Saccharomyces cerevisiae S288C: one gene and its partner. Changing the gene in region 1 together with any one later gene gives a genetic interaction. Each region holds a gene or a part of one and is shown on either strand. Other genes may lie near its edges.

What was found.
Region 2: mutations in DMA2 (region 1) and NUD1 are lethal when combined (synthetic lethality), as found in Saccharomyces cerevisiae (one study listed by BioGRID).

What each region holds. Positions count from the first base shown.
Region 1 is NC_001146.8:405,950-414,083, reverse strand, and holds DMA2 (ubiquitin-conjugating protein DMA2), read right to left. Parts: upstream 5,744-8,134; coding exon 4,175-5,743; downstream 1-4,174. Other genes in the region: DEAD-box ATP-dependent RNA helicase DBP2, read right to left, coding at 1-445; DNA-directed RNA polymerase core subunit RPC19, read right to left, coding at 885-1,313; YNL115C (uncharacterized protein), read left to right, coding at 2,031-3,965; malate synthase MLS1, read right to left, coding at 6,062-7,726. UniProt on the Saccharomyces cerevisiae protein: E3 ubiquitin-protein ligase which functions in cell cycle retarding in conjunction with the UBC4 and UBC13/MMS2 complex, 2 E2 ubiquitin conjugating enzymes. Involved in nutritional control of the cell cycle.
Region 2 is NC_001147.6:1,035,174-1,039,889, reverse strand, and holds NUD1 (Nud1p), read right to left. Parts: upstream 3,057-4,716; coding exon 501-3,056; downstream 1-500. Other genes in the region: aldehyde dehydrogenase (NADP(+)) ALD4, read right to left, coding at 1-50; NDD1 (Ndd1p), read left to right, coding at 3,419-4,716. UniProt on the Saccharomyces cerevisiae protein: Involved in astral microtubule organization by binding SCP72 to the outer plaque in a cell-cycle dependent manner. Required for the mitotic exit by facilitating the binding of TEMP1 to CDC15.

The DNA of each region.
Region 1 (8,134 bases):
ATAAAGCCATTGGCCAACCCTGACATTGAATGCCAGTTGGTTTGTCAAATCCTTCAGCCTTCACTTCATTCAAAACGTAGTCTGGGAAACCAGCTTCATCGAAAGTGGTGATTGGCTTTGGAATATCGTGTCCGGAAATAGTCATTTCATTTTCCTTTCTGAACTGAGCAATCTCACTGTCCGATCTGTCGCGAACACTTTCGTGTTCAACATAGAAATTCTTTTCGAAAGTTGGCAATTTGGGTAATTCTTCATCCCAGTTTGGTTTGATCAATTCCTGGGGTTGGTTGTAATTGGAACGACCACCGAAACCACCACGGTAGTTACCGCCTTGTGGTCTGTCATTGTAAGAGTTTCTATCAGAGTTTCTTCCACCGCGGAAGTCGCCACCTCTAGACTTGTAGTTAGTCTTGTTATATTGCTGATCTCTACCACCGTAAGTCATATTTGCTCTAAATTTGCCTTAATAGTGCTTAATTCTGTTACAGGTTGTTGACAAGAAAATAATTTGAATGAGATACAGAAAAGTATAAGTTATTTGAGCGTAGGACAGTCTTTTTATAAGACAAATAAACTGAAGGAAAAATTTTCTGCGATGAGCATCGGCGTAAAAAAAAAAAAAAAAAAAAAAAAAAGAAATAAAAAAAGAAATAAATTTTTCAATCATTCAATACGGAATACGCCTTTAAAAAGGAATTTCGAATTCTCAACATTATTAGCACCTTGTACGAAGGTGTATTTTTATCTGGTTATATTATACATAGATTTTAAATAGCACGACTATAAACGGGATACACAAATCAAGCTGTATCTATACTAGCGTGGTGTGCATAATTATTAGAAATTTCAGAGTGACAGAGGGTCTTTGAGTCGATCCGTAACATCTACATGCTCTTGATTTTTTCAGTAAACTTAGATTCTACAACGTCACATAAATCCATCAAGTCCTTTAGCCCTTTTTGAAGAGCATCCACCGCGGTCGTTTCACCGTAGGTTTGAATTCTGATATTTAATAGGTTTTCAGAAGGATGAGGTATCGAGTAACCACAAAATTCTACGTCTGGATTTTTCATTATAACGTAACGAAGGGCATTTCCAAGCGTGTGATCCTCCTCTACAATTTGAAAAGAGGCACTAGTTCCATCTTCAGATGTTGCCTGTGTGAGAAGCTTAATTTTTTCCCTGTCTGGTTCCTCTTCCTGTTCTTCATCGCCAGTCATATCAACATCCTGTTCTTCTTCTTCTTGGATGTGCTTTGGTTCTTGTGGTGTTACCTCTGTAGCGGTCTTTTTTTGTTCGATGTCTTCAGTCATTTGCCTGGTACTTTATGTGAAGTTCAATTTTTCCGACTTTGGATTGATGGCCTTTCCCCAATTCGTTACTTTATACCTCAGCATTAGTATGGTTTTCTTTTGAAATTTTTTTTTTTTCCAGCTCATCGCAGGTGAATATTTCTATCACTTGTTACGTTTACCATTACCCGGATTGAAGTAAATATGATTCACCCCAATAAAGCTGTACAGAAGAGATAAGATGTAGCTTTATTAGAACAAAGTTTATCACGTTGTTGGTACTTAGAATAATCTATGATATTGTTGCGTCTTTTTGAATAAGCTTTCTTGCGTGCCGTTTTTTTCGGTTTTTTTTTATATTTCTGCCCAAAAAACGTAGTTCAAAGAAAAGGAACTATCCCAAAATAGAAGCAAGTTATGTTTAAGGAATTAAAAAATGTACCTATAAAGCACGTTTTTCTGATATGTATATGCCTATGTAATGTAGAAGTTGTCGAATCAGCAATCGTATTGGTCAACCTTGATGGCATGTTCTCAGCACGTTTTGAAGTGGCTATGCATATATAGTGTTCTTTAATCTATTCCTTGCAAGGCTATTCGGACCCCTAATTTTAACCATCGTGCAGTTTAAAGGGATGAGAGAAAAACTAAAAGTTAGATGCCTTGCTATATTCTATAAGGAGGAAAGGAAAGGAAAGCCATTGAAGAAAGAACTGTAGGCATCAGAGCGAACAGATCATGAAGGCTAATGGTTTAGATAATGATCCGGCAAGGACGGGAATGGAAAGAACAGATATAGATAGTGAACACCCAGAAGCGCAACCGTTGCTGAACAACAACCACCGGACCCTTGGTGCAGGATCCGCGAATGGCCCAGCAGTTAATGAAGGTCGTGACATTGAATCCGATGGGTTCATCAAAGATAGTCTCTTTCAAATTCGCAAAGGTTATAGAATCTTTATTCATAACTCCAAATGGATATTAAATATCCTAATTCTAATTAACACCATCTGGCTAGTCACCACTTTGATTTCAGATTTCTTTTTCAATATCAATATTCTTTTCGGATTCAGTAACAGGTACGCAAGTTTTAACGACTTGACTTTAATATTCATCTCGATCATAGCTAATTCTTTCAATCTCTGGTTTAATAAGCTGGGACTGTACTCAGCTTTAGATTACAGCTTAAATGTAACTCTCTGTGTTTTGACGTTGTTCAATCTAGCATTGACCTATCTAATTAAATACACTAGGCAAAGAATCGGCTTTGTGGGCACGTTTACATATTTGTGGACTTCGTTTTCATTTTTTATTGGGGCAATATTAGATTGGTATCTCTTGTTTTACAACAACTCAATAAATGAGCCATTGGAGGAACGCAGAATTGATGATGCTAATATTAGTACTTTCAACGAAAACCATACAAATAGTACCGAAAACAGGGACAGAAGCCAATATGGCTCTGGGTCGCCAACCCCCACCCACCGCTCGCAGCTGGTCCAAAACAAACATACATTGACAGAATGGGTATCCATTGGGTTCAGGAATACTATTAAGTTTTTAATTTTAATATTCTTCGCTTTATTCACCCTGAATACACTTTTAACGACATTGGATACCTACAGATTGACTCACAAATTACCAATAACCGTTCAGTCGCCCTCGTACGAGGCGTTCCATTACGTAGATGCCGCTAAAACCTATCAGTTGCATATAACTTGTTATGGTGACGTATTTGATCAAGAAAACAACACAGATTTGTCTGAAAATAAGAAGCAACCTATCATCTTGTTTGAACACGGAGGTTATGATACTGGTTACCTTTCTGCCACCTGGATTGAGGAACTATATCATTTAGACAAAATTCAAAGATATTGTCTATACGATAGACCAGGGTACGGGTTGAGCGATTCTCCTCCCGCCCCAATCTCTATTGCGATGGTTGCGGAATCTTTAAGGTACGCATTGATCAAAGATGCAAAAATTAAAGGTCCCTTCACTACAGTAGGATACGACCTTGGCGGGCTATTTACAAGAGTATTTACCGCCAAGAATGTCGATATTGTGGATAGCATGATGCTTGTTGAATCATGGCATGAAGAACTATTGTTAAAAAACTACATTCAAAGATTACTACCTCCAGGCCGTGGTGATGGCGACGATGGCGACGATGGCAATGGTAATGATGGGGATGGCCGCAACCATGATAAGACTTGGTTACCTTCGGAGATAGAAAGGCATAACGAATTTAGATTATGGTGGAAAGGCATTTGGTCGAGTTTAGGATGGAGATTACAGACTTCATGGTTACTAGCTCATCATGGGTCTAAAGAACGTATATATGGGCGTGATATGAAATATCAAGGACGTTTCTTGCGTTCCAAGTTTTTGGAAAGCGTGACGAGTTCAATTCTAAGTTACAGAGATGTGACAAACAATGCAGAATCTTTGCAAAATGTGAAGACAAGCATCGTTAGCTCTAAGGAAATGGTGAAGAAGTCGGCATTATGGGGCGATTGGCAAAGAGATTTGACCAAAATTTCTCACAAGACTCAAGAATGGAAAATAGTTGAAGGTGGGCATGAAATATATAAGTATGGTCTGGGCAAACAACAAACTCAAGAAGTCCTATTAAGATTAATAGGTGAGCTTGGCAAACTAACCGAGGATTAACCGAGTTCTTTACTTTTTTTTTAGTTTTATATGTGAAAGCAAAATTGACTGCCAACGATGGAGGTATTGTATTCCTGAAAACAATAAGTCAAATATGTAAACGGCGCAAATATATAAATACTAAGAGAATAATTAAAATAATATTAAGGTACGAGATGTGGAGTTCGGTGGTTTTTCTTTATTTTTCAAACTGTGTATTTTCTTTGACCTTAAGGATGGCTATCAACATCCTTTGAAGTTTCCATTAAGACGCTAAGTTGATCCACCAGTTGATCACCTTCACTTTCCACATCACTTTCATCTTCCTCGTCACTACTTTCAAAGGAGGCCTCCAAATCACAACTTGATCTACAGTTGGGGCAAACAAATTGCGGATATGAGAGCATGACCAATCTTCTTACACAACGGAAATGCCAGCTATGTGCGCATGGTGATATGAAAATTGCTTGACACGGTTTGATCTTACATAGGCAAATCGAACAATCTTCTTCTTCAATACCTGTAGTTAATTTTTGTAAATTCTGCAAACGCTGTAAAGCTTCTTTGTTGAACGAATTTGCCTTTAGTTTCCATGATCTATTTAGCTCAATCCTCATCCTTACACAACGATAGATTTCTTCCGTGCCACCTCTAAAATCCATTCCTAACTGTAAAATATCACCATCACGAAGAGGGGTATCTTTCGATAAAGAGGAAGCGGGTGAGAGCCTTTGGTGATTTAAGAAAGTTCCACTAGATGATTTCACATCCTTTATATACCAGTTACCTTGAGAGTCAACTTTAAAACAACCATGTGTCCTTGAAACAACTTTGGATTTAAATACAACTGGATGATATTGTTCAGGTATTTTAGAAATTGCATCGCGAACACGCTCAGTATAGCGGCCAATAACCAATTGGGATCCAGGGCCAGCCTTTCTTATAATCGGTTCAAAGAATAAACCTTGATTTGTCGTGGACGAACTATCAATAAATGGGGTTAGTCTTATACTAAAAAGACCATGCTTATCTTTCCTTTGCTTCAAAGTGACCTCATCTACATTGAACATATTGTTTGACTCCTCTGCACTTGTTGCAGGTAAATCCAAATGTAAAATTTCGGTCCCATTTGGCTGGTTTGCAGCATATATCAAGTGACGTAAATTCTTATACATTTCCTGACTGTTGTTAACAATAGTAGATCCATCTGCACCACCGACTATATTTCTCGTTGTAGCCGCTGGCGCCATGGAAATTATCGAGGTTGTGGTATTGTTAGTACCGTTAGGCTGCCGCTGATTCAAAGACTCTTGAACGTTACCAACATTGTTGCCTTCGAAATTATGCGCAGATGATTGCTGGTGGTCTGTGGTTGTAGGGGCAGTGAGAGATATGGAGATGGGGAGTTGATAGTTGCGATGAACGTGGAACTGGGCCGACAGAGGCATTTGTATAGGATGATGCAGACGTGGTTCCTGCTGTTGCGGAGCGGTATCGATACTTTCCATGGCCACACTCATATGTGAGTTAGATGGGGTTGTGCCGAATAGACGCTGATCAGGAGCCGCAGAAGAAGAAGCTGTCTGGCTATTTTGCCTAATTCCGAAGGTATTCAAAAACGAACTGATACCCGACGCCGGACGAGCCCGCTCATTGGATGGAGTACCACTGGCTCTGTTCCTTGGGTTTATGCCACTACTGCTAGTGGTGTTGGCATTTGATGCGGATGAAGAGTTGGACGTCATCGATGAAGTTGGTGCAGTGGGAGCAGGGGTATTAGCAGGGATAGGCGTGTACATTTCCACGGTATATCCTTTGCTGAAAGCTTCAAACGTATACAATGCGTTGCTATACTTTCTCGACTTCTTTTCAAATCAAAATATATGCCCACGTTTGGAGTCATCAAGTATTGTGTTTGAAATTCCACAACAATGGTTGATGCCTTCGCCGTCGACCGTGATACATTAATCTGGCCAAAACAAAAAAAGGAATCATGATAAGATGATTCATTGCTAACTACGAAACGAAGCAATATAAAGATAAGTTTTTGGATTCCGATACATAATCATATAGGCATGAATATATTTTTATATATGTGTACACTGGGGCAAGGGAGATCACAATTTGCTCAAATCAGTGGGCGTCGCCTTAGTGGACACAATTTCGTCGTACAACAATGTAGTCAAAAATTCACTGAATTTCTCGCCTCTGATTTCTGGCAAGAAATACTTAGCGGCCAGCGCGAATTTGTTCTTGTCACCCAATGGACTTGCCTTAGACAGTCTTTCCACTTGTTCTTTTAGAATCTTTTCGGTTAATTCTGGGGTGACCTTTTCTCCCGTGTCCTTTAGAGTAACACCGTGTTTCACCCATTGATACAATTGACAACGAGACACTTCAGCAGTGGCGGCGTCTTCCATCAAGTTGTTGATGGGCACACATCCAGAGCCTCTGAGCCAAGCTTCCATGTACTGCAACCCGATATCCAAGTTTTGTACAATTCCCTCGGTAGTAATCTCACCATTTGGAATTTTGGTTTCCAGCAGATTAGCAGCCGTTACAACGTTTTCAGGAATGAAATAGATTTGGTTTGGTGTTCCCATATTAATGAAAACTTCATTACAAATAGGGGCCAGTGCTGGGTGTGCAACCCATGACCCATCATGTCCATTTGTCAGCTCTCTAATCTTATCATTACGGACTTTAGTCATGGCCTTTTCATTGGCTGCCGGGTCGTCTTTGATAGGGATTTGCGCAGCCATACCACCCATGGCATGAACACCCCTCCGATGACAGGTATTGATTAATCTTTTCACGTATGCATCCATGAATGGGGAAGTCATAGTCACTTGATTTCTATTGGGCAAAATGTGATTAGGATCATTTCTTAATCTCTTGATTGTAGAGAAAATATAGTCCCAACGTCCGCAATTCAACCCACTAGAATGTTGTCTTAATTGATAGATGATCTCTTCCATTTGGAAAGCAGCAGGCAAAGTTTCAATCAACACAGTAGCTCTGATTGTACCCCTTGGGATCCCAATGTAATCTTGAGCTACACAGAAGACGTCGTTCCATAGTTTAGCTTCCAAGTGGTGCTCCATCTTTGGCAAATAGAAGTAAGGACCTTTGCCCAATTTGATTAATTCTTTGGCATTATGGTAGAAATATAAACCAAAATCAAAGATGGAAGCGCTGATTGGTTCATCATCTACATAAAGGTGCTTTTCCACCATGTGCCAACCACGGGGTCTCACGATAATAGTGGGCAAGTTGGCCACATTTCCATTCAATTTGTACGATTTTCTTGGTGTGTCAAAATCGATTTGATTTCTGATCGCGTCGTAGAGATTAACTTGACCGTAAACCATGTTGTTCCAAGTAGGTGAAGCTGAATCTTCAAAATCAGTCATATAGGTGTTCACAGGAGCATTCAAAGCGTTGATCAGCATATTTCTCAATGGAGGCCCTGTGATTTCCGTTGACCTATTAATTAACCCCGGTGCCAAAATTGGACCTTGCCAAGTGGGATCATTTCTAATATTTGCAGTTTCAGGCAGGAAATCCAGATGATAGGAGCCCGAGTCTAATTTCTTCTGAACAACTTGTCTGTTTTCCAATAATTGTTTTCTCTTGTTGTTGAAAGTTCTGTGTAAAAGAACAATGAACTCTAGAGCATCCTTGGTAAGAATATCTCCCACTGTAGTACTAGATGGTTTAAAGAAAGGCTCCTTATCAACATCCACCAGTAATTTGACGTTATCCAAACTGACCTTAACCATTTTCTTAATTCTTTTATGTGCTTTTACTACTTTGTTTAGTTCAAAACAATAGTCGTTATTCTTAGGTACTATAGCATAAGACAAGAAAAGAAAAATAAGGGACAAATAACATTAGCAGAAGTACGGTATATTTTACTGTTACTTATATACTTTCAAGAAGATGAGTTAAATCGGTAGCCAGTGTAGAAAAATAATAATAAGGGTCATCGATCCTTCGCATTTTATTATCCAATTAAAGATACGAATCACGGCAAACTATATTCAAAGCTCATAGATAATCGTCGTAAGGCTGACACTGCAGAAGAAAAGTCATAATTTGAATACTAGCCGGTATGAAACTGTGATTGATTAACCTGGGGTTACCTAAAGAGAACATAAGTAATACTCATGACAGAATCAAAACACAAT
Region 2 (4,716 bases), on another chromosome or scaffold:
CCAATGGAGGATGCAGACGTCTTTAAGCAGAGCGTAGATCTACTGAACATGCTTTATTTATTTTTGTTATTGTAGTTTTCTTGGTTGGTTTTCCAGATACTTCTAATCCTAACACCCAAGAATTTTTGAGGAAAGGAGAGTGAAGTCAATTGTCACCGACAAACCCCCCCCATTTATATAACCGCCGAACTTCCATTTTCATTACAAATTTCTCCTCATTCTGCTTACCTACACCCGCCCCTCATTTTCCATCTCTGTTGGAGTTGGAGAAAAAGATACCTGTGGACGGAAGTCCCGCATCGCTGGATAACAGCCGTACCGTCGCCCGGGCGGGGAATCATACCAGCAAACAAAAATGAGGGGGAAATGACATCATGTGCGGACGGTACTAAAGGATCAAAAGAATGAATGAATGAATTGTTACACAAAACGGTGAAATTGTTACATACATTTACTAATTACATACATTTTTAGTACTGCGTACGGGTATAGTTATGGGGTTACAGATTCGTGGCAGTTGGGGCAGGAGTGTCATCTAACCAGAGGGTCGCCAGGGCGGGACATTGCTGCTGGCAGAGGCCAGCAAGCTGGAGCAACTGCCGGTAATGCAAGCTCGTGCTGGCGCGATCGTGGCGTGGTGTCGTGATTGGGTTATTTCGTAGATCAAGAAATTTTACTGATTGGCGTGGGAGAGTTTTTGTTAACTTGTGTGCGTTTTGTAGGTTGTTGCCTGGCAGATGTAGCTCTTGCAAGAACGGTAGTTCCTTGGAGAGGTCCACTGGTAAGTGTGTGAAGTCTCTAACATTAGCTATAGTTAGAGAATATAAGTTGGTGGATTTTAGAGAAGAGAATCGCGGCAAAGAGGAGGCCAGGCCGCCGTTGATCTCCAGAATTTGCAAAGTGGCAGGCCATTTTTGCCATTTGCTAAGTTGAGCGAAGCCGTCCAGTTTTAGAATCTTTAGATTTTGGTAGGGGAACGTGAATTGATCATCCAACTTGTAATTTTGTAATTTGGATAGCGCGCCTCCTGTATTTTTGATGGAAAGCGCTCTCAACGTTCCGTTCTCCATCTTAGAAGATTCCACGATGGAAACTAGCGGGTTACCATTGAGGTTTAAAACCTTCAGGCGGGGCAAGCAATTGATGTTTCTTACGCCAATTATGTTATTGTTGCTTAGATCTAAGACTTCCACGGTCAACCAGCCGCCCACGACAGAGTTGTTTGTTAGTATCAATTGTTCGAAATCGATGATACCATTAATCTCGTTGTTAGAAAGGTTCAGTTTTTTCATCCTGGAGGATCCTATCCCTTCTAAGGATTGGATGGAGTTGTAAGAAAGGTTCACCTCTTGCAGGTGATGACAAAGTGACAAAAATTTTAAACTTGTATTCAAGAGGTTGTACGATAAGTCGAGGCATTCCAGATCGTGGAATCCGGCTAATGAACAATGTGCGCTCGTTATTTTGTTGTTTGAACAAAATAGCTGTACAACGTTCGAGGGTATACCTTCTAGAGTGTTCATTTCATTGTCACTAAGGTTTAGCACTAATACATTCGGTAGTAGTCTTTGCATGCCAAACATATTCTTCAGTTTGCCCCTTGATAGGTCAACTTTCAGGATTTTTTCCCAATCGGAATCATAGCTTGGAGAACCAGATAGTTTACTAGTCAAGATTGATATTAGCTGCTTTTCAGTTTCGTTGAACGAGGTGTTTACTTCGGAAATGGACGTAATATCTTCAACCCGTTCAGCGGGGAAGGTCTTTAGTTTCTTGTGAGCTTCTAGTAGATTGGAATTAGAGATTGAACGAGAGGTACGCATTTGTCCTTTAACCTTCGCTCTAGTGCCATTTTTCGTAAAAAGGTCATTAAATTTTGGTGTGTCTAGGGGCGTGTCATCGCTATTTGCTAGATTTTCTTCTTCTTGTATTTTCTTTTGGCGGTAGCCAACATCACCTGGTTTGGTACTGGTTAATTCATACGCCTTCTTATCTAGAATTGAAGGTGCCTTACCGTTAGTGTGATTATCTCCAGTTGGTACCATTGTGGCGAACTGGGACTGGTTGGAAGATGTATTGTCCAGAGAATGTGAACTCGACACATCTAAGCCCTGGTTCAGCGGCGGATCCCATGCGCCGTGTGTATGGTTAAACTGATATCCCAATTGACCGGGTGAAATAGTGTTCAATGGAGGTTTCTTGAGAACTTTTGATTTTCTGCCTGATTGAGTTTGAGAGGACGACATGGATGACGATGATGAAAATTCAAAAGAATTGGAAGTGTCCTCTTCGTCCTCCTCCTTCGTTCTAGCGTTATCCTTATTATTAATATTAATACTATTATTATTATTATTATTATTATTATTATTATTGTTTTTGTTGTTGCTATTACTTGGATAAGAACCCACCAAATAATTCGATTTTTGCTTTTGTAATATGCCATCAAATACATCATGTGCCTCAGCTGCTGGGCCAGAATCGCTGTCATCAGAAAACGACGATGAGACCTTCTCAGCGTTAAAGAAATCTTTAGAATGTGAAATACTAATCGTATCATGGTTTTCATGGGTCTGCATAGTAGTAGTTTTATTCTTCATATCTAAATGTCTTTTAAATGTATTTGTTTCAAGAACTCCAGATAAATCCTTAACCAAGTCGCTCACAATGAGATCCGATTCAGGAACTTTGTTTGCAGTACCAACAGCGCCACCAAAGTTGGTACCACCGCCGCTACCAATACCAGGGAAATACTGCTTCCATTGAGCTTCTTGATGAGATGTAGCAGTCGTGCCTGAAAAACCTGACGGCACTTTCTGATGCACCGTGCTATAGTTGTTCAAAACTGTCATTGTAGGAGGTTTTTTGACAGAATCGGATATTGCAGGTTCCACAACTTGGGAAGTAAAATTTGAATCTTGAAAATCGTGGTTACTTTCATATTCCTTAAACACTTTACCACTGTTACTGTGCGCGTTCGAGCGTAGCTTTCGTGGTGAATTTATTGTAAGATTCTCCAGCTGGCTCGATAGTTCTGCCTCCTGCGTATCCATATCCATTTCGGTATGCTTTTACTATTCAACCTAGTCGGCAATTTTTTCACCTGAATATTGTTGAACACTTCTGGCATCCTAGATACTCATCTGTATTTATTCATTATCTGTTGTGCATCGTTAATAGCATTCCAGTAAACAAGTTTAGGTCACTACCCGCATAAGCCTTTTGGCGTTTGGCGTAACCCTCCTCGCGAAAAGAAACGGGACGCAAAAAAAAAAAACAACAAAACAAGAACAAAACAAAACAAATAGGACAGAGCCTTAAGGAGCTGCAAGGATCTTCTGAATATTTGGCATCGGCATTGTGGGTGGAAAAAGTGTCCAAATTGGAATAAATTGGTCAGAATAGAGCATTGATTCCAACTATGGACAGAGATATAAGCTACCAGCAAAATTATACCTCAACTGGGGCAACTGCAACTTCCTCAAGACAGCCCTCTACGGACAATAATGCAGATACAAATTTTTTGAAGGTAATGTCAGAATTCAAATATAATTTTAACAGTCCGTTACCTACAACGACTCAATTCCCCACGCCCTATTCTTCTAATCAGTATCAACAGACTCAAGATCATTTTGCCAATACAGACGCTCACAACAGTTCGAGCAACGAATCGTCGTTGGTAGAGAACAGTATATTACCGCATCATCAGCAGATACAACAGCAACAACAACAACAACAACAACAACAACAACAACAGCAAGCTCTAGGTTCACTTGTACCTCCTGCTGTCACAAGGACAGATACAAGTGAGACTTTGGACGATATCAACGTTCAACCTTCTTCTGTTTTGCAGTTCGGCAACTCTTTACCCAGCGAATTTTTGGTTGCATCCCCAGAGCAATTCAAAGAATTTTTGTTGGACTCTCCGTCCACCAATTTCAATTTCTTTCACAAAACTCCGGCAAAGACACCACTTCGATTTGTAACAGATTCTAACGGTGCTCAGCAAAGCACCACAGAGAACCCAGGTCAACAACAGAATGTTTTTAGCAATGTCGATTTGAACAATCTTTTGAAGAGTAATGGAAAAACACCCTCATCTTCATGCACCGGCGCATTTTCACGCACTCCTCTGAGTAAGATTGACATGAATCTCATGTTCAATCAACCGCTGCCGACATCTCCATCAAAAAGGTTCTCCTCCCTGTCGTTGACACCATATGGAAGAAAAATTCTGAATGACGTCGGTACACCTTATGCAAAAGCATTGATATCGTCTAACAGCGCGTTAGTGGATTTTCAGAAGGCAAGAAAGGATATTACCACTAATGCAACATCCATAGGGCTGGAAAATGCCAACAACATCTTACAGAGAACGCCGCTAAGATCTAACAATAAAAAATTATTTATTAAAACCCCCCAGGATACCATCAATAGCACTAGCACACTAACTAAGGACAACGAAAATAAACAGGACATATACGGCTCTTCACCGACTACCATCCAATTAAATTCATCAATAACTAAATCTATCTCCAAATTGGATAACTCTAGAATTCCCTTGTTAGCTTCGAGATCAGATAACATTCTGGATTCCAATGTGGATGACCAATTGTTTGATTTGGGGTTGACAAGATTACCTTTATCACCAACACCAAATTGTAATTCTTTGCATAGTACAACCACAGGTACATCTGCCTTACAAATTCCTGAGCTACC